Linked DNA regions of Elephas maximus indicus. The protein of the gene in region 1 purifies or fractionates together with the protein of each later gene. This does not show direct contact. Links are inferred from orthologs where the notes say so. Each region holds a gene or a part of one and is shown on either strand. Other genes may lie near its edges.

What was found. The genes of interacting proteins can lie anywhere in the genome.
Region 2: the proteins of PPP6R1 (region 1) and ANKRD44 purify together in Homo sapiens (co-immunoprecipitation; 5 studies listed by BioGRID and IntAct, counting the BioPlex papers as one, with this or other methods). This does not show direct contact. The link is inferred for Elephas maximus indicus from reciprocal best matches to the Homo sapiens genes PPP6R1 and ANKRD44.

The regions. Positions count from the first base shown.
Region 1 is NC_064829.1:91,748,371-91,758,660, reverse strand, and holds the start of PPP6R1 (serine/threonine-protein phosphatase 6 regulatory subunit 1), read right to left. Parts: upstream 5,081-10,290; 5' UTR 2,264-5,080; coding exon 2,261-2,263; exon of another isoform or gene 2,230-2,260; intron 1-2,229. UniProt on the Homo sapiens protein: Regulatory subunit of protein phosphatase 6 (PP6). May function as a scaffolding PP6 subunit. Involved in the PP6-mediated dephosphorylation of NFKBIE opposing its degradation in response to TNF-alpha.
Region 2 is NC_064824.1:95,696,637-95,706,855, reverse strand, and holds the start of ANKRD44 (serine/threonine-protein phosphatase 6 regulatory ankyrin repeat subunit B), read left to right. Parts: upstream 1-6,026; 5' UTR 6,027-6,216; coding exon 6,217-6,243; intron 6,244-8,298; exon of another isoform or gene 8,299-10,219. UniProt on the Homo sapiens protein: Putative regulatory subunit of protein phosphatase 6 (PP6) that may be involved in the recognition of phosphoprotein substrates.

The sequences.
Region 1 (10,290 bases):
GGGCAGGGGGGTAGAAGAGCACTCTGCACAGGCTCAGCCAGGGAAAGGCTGGAGAGGTGGCTGGGCGGCCCTGAGGTCTTGAAAGCACAGAGGTTCGTCTCTGTGTATAGGCCATGGGGAAGAGCCACTATAGGGTCGCAAGTGCAGTGCTCCTTATTTTGTGTTTTAGGGTGATTGTTGGGAAAAGTAGACCACATAGGATTGGCGTGTGGTGGGTTAGAGGGGTGGGTATGGTGTACTACCGAATATGGGTCCCTGTGAGGCCTGCAGGGGGGATGTGGGGGATCTCAGACTAGAAGGGAAGCTGAAGAGGGGTCCTCAAGCCTCACATGGCAGCCACCAAATCAATCTCAACCCTGCCGATGCCCTAAGAAAACCATGCCATGAGAGGCGAAAAGCAGACTCTCAATGTGAGGAGAACACAGCTCTCTGTGCACTCGAAGGGGTTTCCACACCAGAGACAGCAAGAGGAGAGACAAGGAAACTGATTCCCAGAGGAGCCAGAGGATCCCCTACAGGTGAAGGAAGTCAGTCACAAAGGCCACATATTTATGTGAATTGTCCAGAATAGATAAATTCAGAGACAGAAAGCAGATTAGTGGTTGGTGGGGGCTGGAGGACAGGGAGATGATGAATGAGTGCTAATGGGCACAGGGTTTCCTTTTGAGGGGATGAGAATGTTCTGGGAGTAGACAAAAGGGGTGGCTGCACAACATGGTGATTGTACTACCTGCCAATAAACTGCATATTTTAAATAGACAAATTGTACAGTATGTGAATTCTACCTCATAAAATTGTTACCAAAAAAACAAAACAAAAAACAAAGCCACTACCCCAGGTACCCTGGCAAGGCCAGGCTCAGTCCTCCCTGCTCAATAGTCAGGTCACCCCACAGTGGACCAAACACCAGCTCACTGCGCAGAGCTGAAGCACAGGAAGGGCTCACCTGGGGAGCACATCCAAGGTCAGCCCTCCTCATCCCTGAACTAAGCCACCCTCCTCCACAGAGATACGGGACAAAAAACAGGACTAAATGATACCTGGAGAGAACCCACGTGCCTGTACCTGGCACTTGCCAGCACCTTATCTTGTCTCCATGTCAAGACAGCAAGGTAAGGCATTACTATTATCCCATTTCACAGATGTGGAAGCAGGGGCCAGGCGGGGGGTAGAGGCCCACAGAGCCAGGATTCTGCATGGTTCCAAATCCCTAGCCCTGGCCTCTTTACACTAGGTAGACATTCTCACAGCTGAGGTTCCCGCGCATTTCATTTCTTCTTTTTTTGGGGGGGGGGTGTTCACGCTCATTTCTAAAGCTCCTGGTTATCGGGTACAGCTTGCTGCCCCCACCTCGAACCTCTTGCCCTCACTCCACCTTCCCACCTGCCTACATAGCCTGGCTTTCCAGAAAGCACAGGTGGGAGTAGGCGTGGGGAGCCACAAGACAAAGCAGGGTGTGCAGGCAGTGTACAGTGCTAGGAGGGAGAAAGCATAGGGTCTGGGATCCAGGGACTGGCTTGAACTGGCACTGCACAACTCCAGCCAGGCCCTTAACCTCTCAACCTCAGGTGGCCCCTCTGAAAATGAGGTGGCTGGAAGGATTCAACGTGATCACATGGTCAAACATTGGCTCTCAAGCTCTAAACAGAGTGGAAGTGCAAACACAAACACAGGAAAACAGAAAAGAAACACTTTTCCTCACCACAAACTCTCAGTCCACTCCAGCCTCAAGTCCTGACTCTCAGCCCCCACCTTCCAATTCCATAGAGCTGGTGGGGAACCTGGGTCCAGCACTGACCATCTTTGAGCCTCACTTCCCCCATCTGTTCAATGGGGACACCTAGCCTCAGGAGGCGCTGTAGTGAGCACCAATGAGGTAAGGCTGGTGGTCTTGTCCCTGTGGCAGCCCCCTCCTCAGCCTGTCTCTAAGACCACGATCCTTCCCAGTACTGCACCGCAAGGGTGGGAGGAGAAGGAGACAGTCACTATCCCAAGGCTGGCCATGCTACGAACAGACAAGGAGGAGAAGGGCACGCTCCCCTTCTTACTAAGCAACTGAAACACTTCTCTGCACCCCCACCCCCATCCTTTGCAACTTTCAGCAACTTCTAGAAAGCGGAAGTGACTACCAATGGTTTTCAGCAACCGTTTGAAAACCATGACTCTGGCTGTAAACGGAAGAAGGGGGATTTATAAATGAGAAAGGAGGCCATGAAAAACGAAAACTACCTCTGTAACTCTCCCTCTGCCAGGTCCTCACCATCACCTCTCGTTCCTCCTCCTGCTTTGTTTCCTGAGGCCTTCAACACCAGCTGCCTTCCTTCTCTGGAGCCTGCAGGCCCTGCCCCAGGCTCAGGCAGGGCCTAGCTACAGCTCCCAAAGAGCCGTCCCGCTGGCTGCTGTAGTCCAAACACAGCTCTGGCTGCCAGGGAACCCAGCCGATTCTTCCCCACCACCCGTCTTTCCTGCCCTGGCCCCAAGGCACCCGGAAGTGGGGGTGAAGGGCCCAGGGGCCGCTGGGAGGGCCTCCCAGGACAGGCCACCTGAAGGGCCCTATGCCTCGGCAAGCGGGATCAGAGGGCAGAGAAGGCCAGTTTGGGCCTCAGGAGAGGGCACCGCAGGCCACTGATCCGCCTCCACTGCAGAGATGACAGGCCCACGGGCTGCCGCTCTAATTAGAAACTGGCTGGGCAAGTCCAAGTGCGGGGAAGAGAACCTGCTTGCAGCGGACGGCAGCCTGGGCCCAGCCCCTTAAAGGGCCCGGCGGCAGCAGGGCAGCTCAGAGGATGGCAGGAGAGCCTCCCGCCAACTTCCCCCTCACCCAGCCAGCACCCAGGGTCTGAGGGGAGGTCAGGTCACCCGATGCCAATGCCAGGACTGGAAGGGGCTTCCCATGGGATGGAACAACGACCCCAGCAACTTCCAAGTTAGGGCCCATAGGGCTGCCACCACCCTGGCAAGGTAGGCATCGGGGACAGCCACTAATGAAAAGGGGTCACTGAGGCCAGAGGAGCAAAAGGACCTGGCCAAGGTTACACAGAATGACAAGCTGAGACCAGGCTGGGGCTGGGAGCCTTGAGGCTTTAGAAAGCCTGGGGACGGGGGTCATTCCCCGTTAGGGGGTACCTCCCCTATGCCTTCTGGATCACACCTTCCCAGCGGAGGTGCCAGCTCTGCCTGACCCCAGGGGATGAAGAAATTGGGAGACAGAAGCAACTGCTGAGAACTGGTAGGGGGGATTCCAATGTTCACATTCTGGACTCATCTCTTGCATTGGCCACAGGTTTGGAAAAAAGACAAGATCAAAGAATATACTCTAAGACGGAGAGCCCTTGGAAAAGCAGAGCGGGCAGAGTGCTACAGCCTCAGGAGCCTCCAGGGCAGTTAAGTCAGGAAGGTCTGGGTGCGGCAAATCTCACCTGCCCAAACTCAATCTACAACAGGTGGCAGAGCACCACTGGCCTCTGTCTCCCCATCTATGAAACCCCTCACAGGGCTACCATCAGGCAGCACTTCCCAGCGAAGGACCCACAAAGCTGGTGCTCAAAGGAAGACACTTGGTTTGGGGTGGGAAGGGGATTATGCCCCCCAGCCAACAAGCCATGTGCCAGGCAGTTGGGGAAGGCAACCCACTGGAGCCTCCAAGCCTCTCACCTCTCTCTTGCTGCAACCCACATGGCTCTCAAAATTCAGCCGCACGCATCCCTTCCTCTCTGCCCTGCACGTGCAGCTCCCTCTGCCTCTCCTCTAGTTCTCTGACCAGGCACCTCCTCCAGGAAGCCACCGCGCCCCCCACGATATCACTGGGGGCCTGTGTCTATGGCCACCCCTCAGCCAGCACCGGGGTGCTCAGTGATGCAATTTGCCTGTTTAGTCATCCGTACGCCCTTGAAGGGGCTGGTTCCCCAGGACCCAGAGCAAGGCCAGGCCCAGAGAAGAGCTCAGGGCACTTGCTAAATTAGCAAAGGCTAAAGTCCAGAGGGGGAGGGTGAAGGTCCCTGGGTGGTGCACACAGCTGGGTTGGCAGTTTGAACCCACCCAGTAGGTACTGTGTAAGAAACAGGCCTAGCAATCTGCTTTAATAAAGATTACAGCCAAGAAACCCTTCGGGGCAGTTTCTACTCTGTAACACATAGGGTTCTCCTAAGTCACAAACCAACGACAAAAACAAAATCAACATCAGCGGGGGAAGATGATCTGCTGAGGTCACTTGACCAGAGAGCCTGAATAAAAAAATCTGAGGGGTGGAGGACGAGGGGGAGTAGATATACCTCAAACGGAAAGCAACAGTAGCTGGGCCAACAGAGGCTAACTACCGAAAAAAAGAAAGGTAAATCCAAACACATGATGATGCACAGAGCCACACAGCCACTGACAGGTAGCAAAAAAGTAGATAAGCCCAACTACACCCAAACAAGAAATTATGGCTTCCCCACCTTGGCGCTGTTAACATTTTGGGCTGGTTGATTCTTTGCCTCCCACCACCTGTCTGTCAGCTTGTCGTAGTGCAGTGGCCTGCATGTTGCTAAGATGCTGGAAGCTACGCCACTGGTATTTCAAATACCGGCAGGGTCACCCATAATGTACAGGTTTCAGTGGAGCGTTCAGGCTAAGACTAGGAAGAAAGGCCTGGTGATCTATGTCTGAAAAGTAGCCAACGAAATCCCTATGGATCACAACAGAATCCTGTCCAATACGGAGCTGGAAGATGAGCCCCCTAGGTTGGAAGGCACTCAAAACACACATTGGCCACAACTATGGACTCAAACATGCCAAGATCATGAAGATGACATAAGGCTGGGCAACATTTCATTCTTTTGTACATGGGGTCGCCATGAGTTGGAGTCAACTGAACAGCAACTAACAACAATCCTCTGTCATGCAGAGCTATCCTGTCCATCCTAAGATGTTTAGCAACATCCCTGACCTTGACCCGGTAGAGGCCAGTAGCACCCTCCCCCTAGTTGTGACAATCAAAAATGTCTCCAGATGTGGCCAAGTGTACCCTGGGGCACAATCACCCCCAGCTGAGAAATGCTGCAATAGATGATCCCAAGCCAGATATAATAATCACAGGAGCAACTGATCCTGGAGCAGCTTCTTTACCTTGCATTCTGCTATGAGCTTCTACATACGTCAAGCTTAACCCCTGGAACAACCCCATGAGGAGGGCACTTTGTCCCCACTCTACAGATGAGGAAGAGAAGGCACAGAGCTTCTGATCAGCATGTCCACAGTCACCCCACTAGCAAGTGGGACAGCCAGAACTTGAACCTAGGTCTGTCCAACAAAAGAGCTCACTCTAAACTATTAGCCTTCACTGCCTCCCAAATGTGGTGTAAAACTCCAGAAAACAAGTCACGTGGTCTCATTTAATTTACACAAAATGATGCTGCAGTAGAAAAAAGCTTTAAAAAAGAAAGAGAACAGAGAAAATAACATTTTAAATAGAGCAAGTAAAACCAACTGCCATTCCACGTGGTAAGTGCGTGTCCCAGGGTGTGGTGGCCGTTTCTACACGTACATGTTAGCATACAGGATATGTACACAAACCACACACGCTGTATTCTCCAGATAATTCTGAGTCACTGCCATTGTCACCTTGTGAGAGCCGAGGTGGAACCTCTTCCTCAAGTTGGCTGCAACCCTGCTGCAGTTTTGCTAAGCTCTAACCAAGTCCCACATCTGACAACACACCTTCCTTTCCAGAAACATCTTGCTTTCCAGGCTGGTGTAAATGGTAACGCCTGTGTCCTCAAACAGGGGTGTGTGTGTACATGGTACAGGAAGGAGCAGGAAGGACCCTCGCCAGAACACCACCTCCAAGGTAACCAGCTCCAGCTCTAGGTGTTTTGCCCACTCCCCCCAACATATACCCTCTCTCAGACCCTCCAACACCCCCACCTTCACGTATCTGCACTGGTTGTTCCTTCCACCCGGAATGCCCTTCTTCCCACTCTCCATCTGTCAACTCCCACTCAACCTTCCTCGACAGAAAAGCCACTGGCTTGGCCAGTCCTGCCAGTCCCTGCCCCTCCCTGGGCTCCCGCAGTGGTGCCCTGAGTTACCTCTATCACCACACACAGTAATTGTGACTGCCCAGCTCTGCCTTTGTCTCCCCAGGGACCCATCCCTCCTTCAGGGCAGCGTCCCCTCTCTGGGTCCAGCACCAGTACCCCACCCTGCCCTCAGAAACAGGCCTCCTCTCAAAAACAGGACCCGCCCCAGAGAACGCGGGCTCCCAGATCCCTCCTCACAACCAGAAGCCAAAGACCACCAGGTACGGGGGACCCACAGCCAGGGTAAAGGGAAAGCGCCACTACTTTATGTCCTGAGCCCAAGGATCAGAATGAACAGGGACCAGTGAATCCAGGAAGGCAGGAAGGAGGGCAAAGGCATGACGCAAAAGAATGGGGGCAAGAGAGAAGAGTCTCAGTAGTAAGAGATGGGGGTGCCTGAGGAGACAGACTACTGAGGGGGGCAGGCTCAAGGGGGAAGAGACTGGGAGCGGGGGTGAGTCCCAGAGAGGAGTAGGTATGGTGGAAGGGGGTGGGTTGGAGGGGCAAGTGACTGGGGCAGGGGGAATGAGTACGAGAGGGAAGAAGGGGATGAGGTGAGGAAGAAAGAGACTAAGAGACTGGGGGGATGGGAGAGAGGAAGAAGAGACTGGGGGATAGGTGAATCTGAGGGAGGAAGGAGGTGACAGAGTGGCAATGAAGCAGAGCAGGGAGGGACTATGAGACTGGAGGGACCTAGGGGGAAGGAAGAGGTAAGCTGGGGATGAGCTGGACGGAGAAAAGATGGGGGGGGTGAGTCTGAGAGGGAAAGAAGGTGGTGGGTGGGTGGGTGAGAAAAGAAGAGGAGGGGAATGAATCCGAAAAAGAATAAAAAGATAGTGGTCTGGCGGTGAACCACAGGGGAAGAGACTAACAGACTGGGGAGGCCGAGTGGGAAGAGGGAGGTGGGCTGGGAATAGGCCAAAGAAAAGAAATGGAGACTTTAGGCGAGACGGTGGACGCTGAGGTGACACAGACTAGGGGGAAGCCCAAAGAAGGAACGGAAGAGGCCCGAGGAGAAAGATGGGGGGTGGCCCGGACAGGGAAGAGACTGGGGAGCCCCGAGGGGTACTTTGGTAAGGCTCTAGAGGGCCCGGGGCGGGGGGAGCGGAGACTCGGGAGGCCTGGACTCCGGGGAAGGGTCCCGGGATCCGGCCGGCTCACCTGCTCGGGGGGGCGGCGGCTCCTCGCACTCGGGGCTCATCGGGGCGCCCCCCCCGCCCCGCTGCAGGCGGCTCCGGCCCCTGCTCAGGGACCCGGTAAGTGGGGGCGGGGGGCGACGCAGTGGTCTCGCGGGGCGCTCGGTGCGCAGGCGCTTCAGTCGGGGGTTTGCGCGGCGCGCACGCGCCCTCTGATCAATGGGGGGCCCCGCGTGCCTAGCTCCGCTGAGTTCGGGGGTAAGCGCGGGGTTCGTTGGGTGGGGAGGTCACGGGACCCGCGCAGGCACCTCCGGGGTTCGACGACTGAAGCCGCGGGCAGCGAGCTGGGCTGAGAAGTCTGAGCGAGGGAACGGGACGTCGCCCCGGTTTCCTCAGCCCTGCACCCCGTGGAAAAGCAGAGGGCAGGCGGGGAAGATGTCCTCCTCTGTGGCCCGAACGCAGTGCGGAGCGGCCACCGACGGAAGCCGAGGCCCACTTCCTCAACCCTCCTTTCCCCAAACCAGCGGAGGTCCGGGGCGTCCGCACTCCGGCTACTCCGACGCCCAGCCGCTCTCCACCACTATCCCACAATCCCCCGAGCGCCGAGAACGCTACAGGCCCCGCCCTCCCGCGGCTTCTCCGTGCGCAGGTGCGCCGCGGCCGCGCCCCGTAGTGCGCATGCGTGTCGGGCCCAGGCGTTCCCCGCCCCGCCCGCCCGGAATGCCGCTGCTGTCACAGCCCCGCTTGCGCCAGTTTCTGCCAACGGTCTCTCCCCGGATAAACCCAGGCGGCCCGGTGCGCAGGCGCCACTGCAGCAAAACCAAACCCAACCCACCGCCGTTCAGTCAGTTCCGGCTCTTGCCGACCCTATCAGACAGAGTAGACCTGCCCCAAAGGGTTTCCAAGGCTGTGACCTTGACTGAACCCGACTGCCACATCTTTATCCCGCGGAGCGGCTGGTGGGTTTGAACCGATGACCTTTCTGTTAGGAGCCCAGCGCTTAACCACTTTTACACCACCAGGGCACACCCAGGAGCCAATTTCTCTACGATTCCATTCTAGAGTCCAATAGGAATGCTGCCCCGGGTTTTCTCTTCTCCTTTGGAAATTCGTCAGCTCTGTCACATAGGGTCGTTATGAGTCGAAATGGACTGGACGGAAACGGGTTTGTTTTTTGTTTTTTTGTATCCTCGATCTTCTCCAACTATATACCGACTCTGGCTCCAGGGTCGCGCTGCTGGGAAATCCATCCCGGGCTTTCCCTCTTGGAAGCAATCTAGCCTTTCTCTCCAACCAAACTAAGGTGGTTTGACCTCACCCTATTTATTCTCTCTCTGTCGGGTCGCTGTGAGTCGGAATCAACCGGAGGCAACGGGCTTGGTTTTTTGTTTGTTTGTTTCTCTGTTGACATCTCCTCTGGGCCTGACTTCAGTCATTCTCTGTTCCTAGTCGCTGCACAAAGCCTTTTGTAATGGGAAGCGTTCTTCTAGACCTTGCCAGTATTCTTTAAGACCCATCTGACTCAGCTGTAGTTTCCCCAATATTCTTGTTGTTAGGTGCCTTGGAGTAGCCCCACGAGACGGAGTAGAACTGCCTGGTAGGATTTTCCAGGCTGTAATTTTTTCATTGTACTTTAGATGAAGATTTACAGAACAAACTAGCTTCTCATTAAACAATTAGTACACATACTGTTTTGTAACGTTGGTTGCCAACCCCGTGACATGTCAATACTCTCCCCTTCTTGACTTTGGCTTCCCTATCACCAGCTTTCCTGTCCCTTCTTGCCTTCTCATCCTTGCTCCTGGGCTGATGTGCCCATTTAGTCTCGTTTTGTTTTGTGGGCCTGTCTACAATCTTTGGCTGAAGGGCGAACCTCAGGAGGGACTTCATTATTGAGCTAACAGGGTGTACAAGGGCCGTACTCTCGGGGTTTCTGCAGTCTCTGTCATACCAGTAAGTCTGATCTTTTGTGTGTGTGCATTAGAATTTTGTTCTACATTTTTCTCCAGCTCTGTCCCGGACCCTCTATTGTGATCCCTGTCAAAGCAGTCAGTGGTAGCTGGGCACCATCTAATTGTGCTGGACTCAGTCTGGTGGAGGCTGTAGTACTTGCAGTCCACTAGTCATTTGGACTAACCTTTCCCTTGTGTCTTTGGTTTTCTTTGTTCTCCCTAGCTCCAGATGGGCTGAGACCAGTGGAGTATCTTAGATAGCCATTCACAAGCTTTTAAGACCCCAGACGCTACACACCAAAGTAGAATGTAGAACATTTTCTTTATAAACTATGATGCCAATTGAGCTAGATGTCCCCCCAGACCATGGTCCCCAGCACTCAGCCCCATAATTTGGTCCCTCAGGACTTTGAATATGCCTATGGTGCTTCCATGACCTTGCCTTGGACAAGTTGTGCTGGCTTCCCCAGTATTGTGTACTGTCTTACCCTTCACAAAGTTACCACTTACCTATTGTCTATTTAGTGTTTTTCCATCCCCACTCCTCCCCTCTCTCATAACCATCAAAGATTTTTTCTCTTTGTGTGTAAACTTTTTCGTGAGTTTTTATAATAATGGTCTCATTCAATATTTGTCCTTTTGTGACTGACTTATTTCACTCAGTATGATGCCCTCGAGATTCATCCATGTTGTGAGATGCTTCACAGATTCATCTTTGTTCTTTATCATTGCATAGTATTCCATCATGTGCATGTACCATAGTTTGTCTATCCATTCATCTATTAATGGGGTTTTTTTTCTTTCCCATGATTCTGCTTGCTTGTTTTCCTCCACGATATGACTGCATAGTTGCCACACTGTTGAACACAGGCTCACGGACTGAGGGATGGGGTTGGCCATATGCAACCACCAAATGGAACCTGAGAAGCTAAGGAAGCCAATCTGCAATAACTTGGAAAACTCCAGGGTTTTTAAAGACTGAAACCTGAATTCCTGTCAGAATTTCCAGATAGATGATGCTGTTATTTATAGTAGAATGAACCTGTTGCCATTGAGTCGACTTCGACTCATACTGACTCTATAGGACAGAGTAGAATTGCCCTATAGGGTTTCCAAGGCTGTAATCTTTACAGGAGACTGCCA
Region 2 (10,219 bases), on another chromosome or scaffold:
AATTTTCTCATCTTAGCCTAGTTTGGTGGGCCTGTGCTTGTTTTATGAGGATCACCTGATACCCTAAGACACCTTGGACCTCCTATAGCTTAACTATCTAAAGCTTCAAGAGTGGAGCCTCCATCCTGAGATAGTGAGTTAACTAATTCAGCAACCATTTACAGGGGTCTGCTTATGGCTTTTACCTAGGCTAGAAAAATGTTTCTGATTTATTTACAAATGGGTGAACTATCTATACCACCGGTATAGAGTCAAAATATATGATTATATTGGGTTGAGCCCTTCGGAAGGAATCTGAGATGAGGCTTTGCAGAGGGAGAAGTTGAACTGTGATGCAGTTCCAGCACAGGCCTTGGCTCTGAAGCTAAGATGTCCCTTCGGAGATACTCTGAATTGAGGCAAGGTGACTGGCTGGGTCTTTGTACCACTGCACTCATTGCATATAAACAGGCCCCAGGGAGAGGTTGTAACCTTGGGTGATGTACTTTTTACTTTTGGCTGAAGGCAAAGCCTGGGGAAAGATTCAGCTTGAGTGGTTAGCAGGCAACTTTTCCAGCAGGGCTTTAGTGCCGAAGGTGGGAACTGGGTGACACACTACAATGCCTACTGCAGTGATATATGTTCATATGTTTTATATATATGTCATATATATATACTCATATACACACTCACATGTATCTATAGACATACATATACATGTAAGTGTGTATTTATAGTCATACAATTTAAAATAGGATAAATCAAGTAAATAAAATAACCACAGTGAAATGTGATATAATATATTGGATGGATTTATTCACATCATAGGCTATGATCACTACAATACATTGGTTCTCAGTACTGTCCCTTAGGGAATATTTTTGAAATTTGAGGGGGCATATTTGGAAACCCTGGTGGTGTAGTGGTTAAGAGCTAAGACTGCTAACCAAAAAAAGTTGACAGTTTAAATCCACCAGCTGCTCCCTGGAAACCCAGTGGGGCACTTCTACCCTGTCCCATAGGGTCACTATGAGTCAGAATCGACTTGACAGCAATAGGTTGTTTTTTTTTTAATGGGTTATGGCACACAAAAGAGCTAAAAGGTGCCATAGAAACCCCAGACATAGTCCTCCCTGCCCCCATTGTGTAGCAGCAAACCAATTTCCTTTTGGAAATTGGAACCAAGAACCCCAGCTAGAAAAGCAACCTCTTTTTTGCCTGTTGGTTCCATAGTATGAGAAGCCCAAAGTGACCAGATACCAGTCTCTACTTCTCAAAATTCAAGGAACCATAATTATAACCCCTGATAGAAAGAGTCCTCTATTGGAAAGTAGGATTCTCCACACTAGCAGAGCTCAAAGTTATGGGCACTGGAACCAAAAACTGTGCAGGTGCATTGTTAGGTGTAATGATGAGAAGAGCCCCTTCCACCACCACCTTCCTGACTCTTGGAGCTACATATTTTGGGAGGAACACTACTGTATATTGGTTGCTGACTCAAAGCATACATATATCCTATAACAGGGTACTCTAACCTTTTAGTATGTTATTCCCCAAGTGGCACCAGAACTCAGTCTTCAGTAGATCATTCCATCTTCCTACTAGGTCAGCTGCTTCTGCTGGTAGGGTATACAAGACCAGTAAATTCCATTTACGCGATTCCAGTGTTGCATTTCCTTTCCTGTGAAATGAATTACTTGGAAAGAAGCAATATTGTACAGAATATTATAACAGTAAATAAGCGATAACATAGTAAGTTCATTGGTGGTAGTACTGGCAGAAGCATTCTAGGCATAGAAGGCAAATCCCTATCCACAATACGTATTTATTCTCCCTCCGTGATGGAAAAACCAACCAATCAACCAAAAAAACCAATTGCCTTTGAGTTGATTCTGACTCATGGCAACCCCATATGTGGAAGGAGTCCAATACAATCAATCTGCTAACAGGTGCCTGGTTGGTCCCCACTGGAAATAGTGCCATATCAAGAGTGCAGGAACTGAAGAAATAACCGTCGAGTGGATTTGCAGACCTACTGGACCCACTGTCATTTAGACTTGGGTGAAAACTCCATTTATCACTGGAACACCAAAAGTCCCCAATTCGATTGGTGAACTCAATGGCATTTTGGATCCTCAGGAATCACCATTAATTCAGAAACAGTGTCTAGTAATCCCCAAAATATCTGGGTATTTCCTTTTCCCTAGTGCACAAGTTACCCTAGTGAATGACATCAGGTTCCCTTGGGAAAGGCTTGAATGAAGACTTGTAGTATGTATTTATGGCAGTACTGTAGGATTCTTTCTCAGGGACCAGCCCTCCTTTCAATTAAGGGGCACCATGCCTGTAAACTAGCTTAGGTATGGAAACTGGATGAGAAGGATGATTTTTCATTTTAATGGCTCAAGGCCAGCATACTCAGAGTTTGTTTTTTCAATAAAGATCAAGGAATATTTCAGAAGTCTGCCCACCTATTTTATTCCTAGGGCCACCTGGATCAATTAAAAAAAAAAAAATTTTTTTTTTTTTTTAGGTACTGTCAAATATACCTGTAGGTCAAGACCTTTGTTTATTACTTTTTTCCCTGCTGTCCACTACAGTAAATGTGTCCATGTTGCTTCTGCCAGTTAGGCACCGGTATCCCAGTATCCCACTGTCACAGATATCAGGAAGCCACCTCACTGGAAGCATCTCCTACCATCATATCCAGCTACTACAGAGCTTTTCTGGTGCTCTCTTCACTAATCTGTTTTTCAATGCCTTAGTGTAATTTTTAATTTTTTTAGTGTAAAGACTGTCATCTGGGCCCTCAAGGTGTATGTAGGTTGGGTTTGGGTGTGCAGGTTACACATGATAAAATCACTCCAACATTCTTATCTCGGTAAACTTTTGTATTTCTTTTTCCACATTATACCAGGGGCATTCTAGCATCTTGATCTCATTGAATGTAGACTACTGCAAGTTTCATTTAACCAACTGAGCAAACTGTTAGAGTCACATTCAAAGCACTAGTTAATATCTTAAATCCACACTTTCTGGTAAATGCACCCATATCAATAAATTTAACCCAATCCTTAACTCTTTATTTTGTTTGGAACTTGACCAAGAGTTGTTCAGCTTTTCAAAAGTCATGTCACCTATAACAACACCAATCTTGATGTTTGAGTTGCTAACACAACACATTCATATTGGTCAGCATTTGTAGTTATCTCATTCAAAATGGTTCTACATATGGGGGTGTTATGAACTGAATTGTGTTCCCCCAAAATGTGTATTGTAATTCCTAACCCCTATGCCTGTGGTTATAATCCCATTTGAGAATGGGTTGCCTTTGCTATGTTAATGAGGCAGCATTAGTATAGGTTATGTTTTCAGTCAATCTCTTTTTAGATATAAAAGAGATTAAACAAGCAAGAGAGAAGCAGAGATGGGGGAAAAGAGATGCCAAGCCACATGAAGATTACCCAGCAGCAGAAGCCAAAGAAACAAGGACCTTCCTTCAGAGCCAACAAAGAGAGAAAAACTTCACCTAGAGCCTGCACCCTGAATTTGGACTTCTGGCTTCCTAAACAGTGAAAAAATAAATTTCTGTTTGTTAAAGCCACCAATTTATGGTATTCTGTTATAGCGGCACTAGGAAACTAAGGGGCAAGCCATCTTCTACTTCATGTTATCTTCCATTAGAGTTGTGCTATAGAATTTACTTATGAAATACTTATTAATTTTAAATTACTTTCTATTTTCCCTTTGTTATTGATTTTTTTGTGATTTGAATAGGTAGGTTATATTGTCTATTAATTTCATTTCAAGATAGTAAGGGAGTATTAAATATACTAGTTACAAAAAAGGGGATGATGGGTCTGATAGGGTTGTGGACTGTTCCCTCCCCCTTTCAAATGAGGTCTCAAGAACTTGGGTAGATATGCCATGGTGAAGCAAAGAGGATCTTGGGAGCACTCTCCAAATTAAACCATTTGTTATTACTTTTCTGAAAGAAGGCTATATTTAAGTGGAAAATTCAGTGTCCTATTCAGTTTACTTACAAACCCATGCAAAATGGTATTAGTAAATAGATACACCAACACCAGTAGTTAAAAACTGCCTCACAGATGCAACCAAAGCAATCTATTTTGTATTTGAGAGAGGGCTTTGAGAGAAAAAGTACATTTTTCTTCATGCTTCCCTGATGATAGAGGAGTGAAAGCCAGGAGAATGCCTCCTTGGTTCCCGTTGTCTACATGATCTGAATCACAATTTTATCAGACTAGTAAGAGTACGTTTGTGACTTATCTGCTTAGCTAAACTGGGTGGTTGAATGATAAAGGAGAGGATGCTAAGTGAATGCTACCAGCTCACATCCTTCTCTCCTTTCTTACATGGAACCTTTGCGGAGGCTCTGAAAGTTGGGAGGAAGAACCCCAGAAGGCAGTATACACTTTCGGTTTGTGAATAAGCAGGATATCTTTGCTCATGACCCAGGAACTCTGTAGCTGTGTTTTGCTGTTTAATGCTTCCCTGCAGGTTTGCTCTGTGGCCTGTCAGGGGCACAAGGGGCTGCCTGGGAGCTGCCTCCTGCCTTCCTTGCTAACATACCTCCTCTCCTCTTCCAGATCTCAATTAATGTCACTTTCTCAGGGAAGCCTGGGTTTATGCATCACTTTGGTCTGATTCCTTTGTCATGGGTTCCTTTAGAAGCACTTGTTCCCTGTAATCCCTCATCTCAACTGGTAATTACATTCCTTAGCCTGACTATAGTCAGGCATCCTCCGAGACTAGGTATCTTGCCTATTTATGAATACCGACTCGACGGCAGTGCGTTTTTTTTGGGGGGGGGGGTACTTGGTAAAAGGTAGGCACCCAGTGCATAGTTGTTGAATAAATAAATGCTTGTCCAAATTCTACAAGTGTCAACATTAGCCATGATTATAAATATGACCGCTGCCTTTGTATCCCATGCTGCTTAACGTGTCTTCCACCTGTTGAAGAGCATGGTAACTTTGGATTTTGTGGAAATGCATGATCAGGACTGGTGGAAACATTAAAAATGAGGTAATTCACGATCTCTTCAGTTTCTCCAGTAAGGAGCCTCGGTGGTGCAGCGGTCAAAAGCGGCTGGCTGCTAACCGAAATGTCGATGGTGGAACCCACCAGTGCTCCAGTGGGAGAAAAACGTGGCCCTCGGCGTCCATAAAGATTTACAGCCTTGGAAACCCTGTGGGTCAGTTCTACTCTGTCCTGTAGGGTCCTGCTCCAGCTCCACCCTCCGGGTAAACCAAACCACAAATCAATAGCAAAACCCAGAGTGTTATAATGATTGTGTGTGTGTGTGTTTGTGTCTAGCTGGATTCTGGCTGGGGAACAAGGTGAAAATGTCAGAATCCCTGTACCTCGCCCCAAACCCAAATGTTTGTGAAACACGGCTCACTTACTTGCTAAAAAAAAAAAAAAAAAAAAACCCTGTATCAGGCCTCCGGGCATTAAACTAAGAGTATCTGAATTGTGGTGCCTGATTGAGGTGGGATAATTTTGAGGGCTGGTACAATCGGATTCCGGACTATAATGAGAGGTTTAAGGGAAGGGGGTGTGCCCCAGCCTCCCAGTTTAAAGTGGGTGGTTTGTGAGTGGCAGCCTTTCTTTGCCCCCTCGGGGTGTCCTCACAGGGGCTTGTTCATCAGGTTGTGTCCGTGTGTGTCTGTGCACATGAGTGAGATGGGGCTAGGGAGACGACGGTCAGCCCCGGGTCGCCACCTTTACCATGCGCGCCCTGGGGCCGCCGGGCGGCCTGACGGCCGGTGCCAAGCTCACCCATGTGCAGTGTGCGTAAAGCAGGAATCAGTCTGCCCTCGGCGGAGCGCGAGGTGCTGGCGCCAGCGAGCGCTGGGGGCCGTGGGCTGCGAGGCGCGGCTGCGGGCGGCAGGAGGCAGCGTCGGCCCAGCCGGCGCGGCCGCGAGCGAGCGAGGCAGCGCGCGGTGATGTCAGTGGCGGCCCGGCTGGCAGCAGCCGGCACTTCCTGTATAAAGGCGGGCGGGCGGGCGGGCTCGGCTGCAAACACCACTAGCCAGTGTCAGCCTCTCGGCGAGAGGAGGCGGTGGCGGAGGAGGAGCAGGGGGAGGGCTGTCAAATTCGGGAGCCAGATTTTTTTCCCTTCCCCTGGCAATCCCTTCCGCTTCCCCGGCTCCTGGCTTGACATCTCCGGACTGGGGACCTGTATGTGTGTGCGTGCGGAGGAGCGGAAGAATGGTAGTGCTCAAACTCACAGACCAGGTAGGGGGCGGCGGCCGGCGGCGGGACTCTCGGCGCGGGGCGGCGCGGAGCCCGGCGGGGGATGGGGGCGGCGCGGAGCGAGCCCGCGAGCTGTTTACTCCGGGCCAAGGGGAGGAGTGTGTGCGGCTGGCGGGCTGCCTCTGAACCCCGCGGCGGCCGCTCTCCTGCCCGGAGCTGCTCCCCGCCCTGGGCCGTCGGAACTGCACGCCCCGCTCAGCACCCTTAGCACCGCGGCGTGCCGCAAGGCTGAGGGGGCACCCTGCTGGGCGCAGCCTGGGCGCGGGTGCGCGGGCTTGTGTGGGTCTGCGTGTGTGGTACGCGGGCCCAGGCTGAGGAAGAGGGGGAGGGGAGGCTGGAGGTACTCCTCCGACTCCACCGGGCTGCGCAGCCGAGGTCCACGCCGCCGGGAGGAGGACTGTGGGGTCAGAGGGAGAAAGGTCCGCAGTCTGGAACCCCTCCCCAAGGCAACCCGGAGACCGGCCCAGCCCACGTCTCTTGTGTGATCGGGCTGTCTATCCGTTTGACATGCTATCCTGACTTCCTCTTTAGCTGGCCAGAGGCGGCGGGTGCATGTCCGATGGGGACCCTCGAAGAGGCGCTCTGGGCTCTGGTCCGTCTTTCCGGAGGAGAATGCGGTGCGGTCCGGCGGGGCCTCCACTTTCAAGTGGTGGGCTACCGTCTGCTTGTGCCCCCATCGGCTTTGTTGCTTTCCTCGCTAAGACTCAACACAGGGCAGTGCAGATCTGTGGTGTGGAGACACCTCACCTTTGTGGCCTCTGCTGCTCTTAGGAAATGGGCACTCACAGGCGCCCAATCAAGTTGCACGACAAAACTCCTTGCAGCTCCTTCCACGAAAAAAGGAAAAAGCTTGCCTCCCCGCCCCCCCCCCCCCCCATTTAGTGAGATAAACATTGTTTTGGTGTTCTGGTAGGTCAAGATGTAGTCTTGACTTGGACACGCTGTCAAACGGGCCAGCCCTTGGTATTACACATCTCAAACTTCTTGAGTGGGTTCCAGTGGCACCTATTCTGTCCCCTATTAGCATCCAGCCAGAGCAGTCTGGGACTTAAATGCTATCATTACCACGATGTTTTTGCAATGATTTGTTCTCGTCCTTTTAGATTTATATTTTTGGTTTGATTTCCCTAAATATTTATAGACTGTGTGGAGGGGGGAGGGGGGAGGTCACTGAATTAAAATCCGTGCTGTTGTTAAATTTGGTAGGAGGAGCCTAGTGATTTTGATGAGTTTACGTGTTCTCATTGGTTCCAGAGCATTTAAAAGTGTTTGTAAGTTGATATTAGGATTTCTCCCACCTTTTAGCCACATACTTAGCCAACTGTTAGACATTTGCTTGTTTTAAATCTTCCAATTTTAGTCTGCCTTGGTCCTGTCATCTTTGCTGGTCACCTACTTGTCTGTTAATCCTTAATCAGCAAGGTCCAAAAAAAAAAAAATGCTTCTAACAGTACATGAAAGAATTTTACTTAGGATTTTAGAGTTGTAAGGTATGCTAAAGACCTTCCTGCTCAAGTCCTTCAATTTTCAAATGAAGAAACTATTATCTGTAGAAATGAAGCATGCCTTACTCAGGGACCACAGCTGTTGACCTGTAGAGCTAGGATTAGCTCCGGTTGCCTTCCAGGTTCTTGTGCTTTCTGCTAGAGTTGGTAAGACACCTCTGGCTTTTCATTGGATGTGTTGTAAGGGTTACAAGAAGGCATCCTCTTCTAAATCAAGATGGACACTGCTGAAAAGTGTATTACTTGGTCTTAAAAAGAAAGGATGTTATTCTTCAGGACTTATCAGAAGTTCCTTAGGATTTCTAAAGATGTTTGTCTTTTAAAATGTCCTTTCCCGGCCCCCCCTCTATAAACTAGTGTAACTGTGGAAAGAAAGAGTACCAAAACGTTTATTTGGTTCCACCTCCTGATGCATAAAAAGAAGCTAAGACATTCTAAGATTTAAGATCATCTAAAAATTCCCTGCCTATCTTGGGACACAGCCAGGGGGGATTGGGTGGAAAGGCGTTCTGGGTGGAGTGGGGTGGGGTGGGGTGCTGAGCAACAGAGGTTTCTGTGTGGCTTCAGGTCCAGGAAGCATGTGGTCTTTCTTGCCTTATATAGTCTTACCTTTTCAGTTTGAAATTCTAAATTCTTAGAAGTCGGTTTTTAACCTCATTGGAGGCTTAAAAACTCTGTGCTTAAAAATCTGCGAGAAGAGTGGGTAGGGAGCAGCCTGCCTGGAATCCCTGCCTTAGAGTTTGTAGAGGGAGTGCACAGTTCTCCTTTTAGCTACTTGTACAAGAACTATTTTTTAAATTCCTCCCTCATTTGTTTTAACACCTTGATTTTTGTCCTGGCTCTTGCAGTTTTTTTTTTTTTTTGCTTGAGGACACATTTTTCCTGCCGATAACCTGAATTACAAGTTGTCTTTAAACATGCCCAAAGTAAGAGGCGGTCCTGTTCTGCTGAAGCTGGGTGCAGGAGCTTGTTGGGTGATGGTGATCTCCACTTCAGCAGTTAATTCTGCAGTGACCTCTCAATCACACAAGAGAAGGGAAAAATACCTTTTCCTGATTTGGTTTTTTTTTTTTTTTTAACGCTGGGAGAGTGAGAAGAAAGGGGAAAGGGAGAGGCAAGTGTGTGGCTTTTAGTCTTTTCTTACTATGAAAAGGAACTGGGAGCTATTGCTACAAACAAACAAGCTTGGCATTTAGCACTTCTGCATTTGTCTCTTCTGTTTTCCCCTTCACATGATGCACGTCATTTTTCTTGCAGCTTTAGGGTGACTAACTGCCCTGGTTTGCCCAGGACTGAGGGGTTTCCCAGGACAAGGGACTTTTCAGAGCTAAAACCAGGAAAGTTTCAGACAACCAGGATAAGTTGGTCACCTATGGAGCGTAGAATACATTTACCTATGGAATTAATATAATAATGTAATTATTCCCTCATAGATGGATGTTAGGAGATTTATTTATATCTTTGGTAAAGAGAGGTGATATTAAGGTTGAGAAAGAAGATTTTATTATGCACACATGATAATGTATAGTATAATTTTACATTTGTATAATATATAATTTTGGAAACCCTGGTGGCATAGTGGTTAAGTGCTACGGCTGCTAACCAAAGGGTCGGCAGTTCGAATCCACCAGGCACTCCTTGGAAACTCTATGGGGCAGTTCTACTCTGTCTTATGAGTCGGAAGCGACTCGACAGAGCTGGGTTTGGTTTGGTAATATATAATTTTACATTTGTATAATATATGTAATGGAGCCCTGGTCATGAAGTGTTAAGAGCTCAGGCTGTTAACTAGAAGGCTGGCAGTTTGAATCCACCCAGCAGCTCCTTGGAAACGCTATGGGGCACTTCTACTCTGTCCTATAGGTTCGCCATGAATCGGAATTGGCTTGATGGTACACAAAAACAACAAATATGTGTAATATAATATAAAATATATGATAAGATTTTATTATACAGATATGTATTTTGGCTTGAGATATCCATGAAACTCTTTGCAATTTGATTTGATACTGAACTTTTGTTGTTCTTTATGTCATATAGTTAAGACATTTCAGTGATTTTAATTGTGGTCATATCTTTGGCCTGGACCAAAAAAATTTTTTTTCGGAGTTATGAAGCTAGAATGGTGAGTTCTGGTGGACTTTTGAAATGTTCACTATTCTTATCTGAATTTTCAAATGACGGCAGAATACCACCTCCACTCTAAGGCTGCCTATAGACAAAATGTTTCAGCAGGTGGCCTTTTTTGTGGCTTCCTGCCTGGAAGCCTTCTGGTTTGGCATCCTCTTGCCAAGTCCTAGCTCAGCACTTGAGTCACCTACCTCCTTGCCAAAGGCAGTGACTGGCAGCCGTGGCAGTGGCAAAATACTAGAAACCCTTTAACTTTGAAAGTAGAACTTTTAGCCCACAGCGTAAGGCCTTGGGACATGTTACACATTTTATTGGACTGCTCT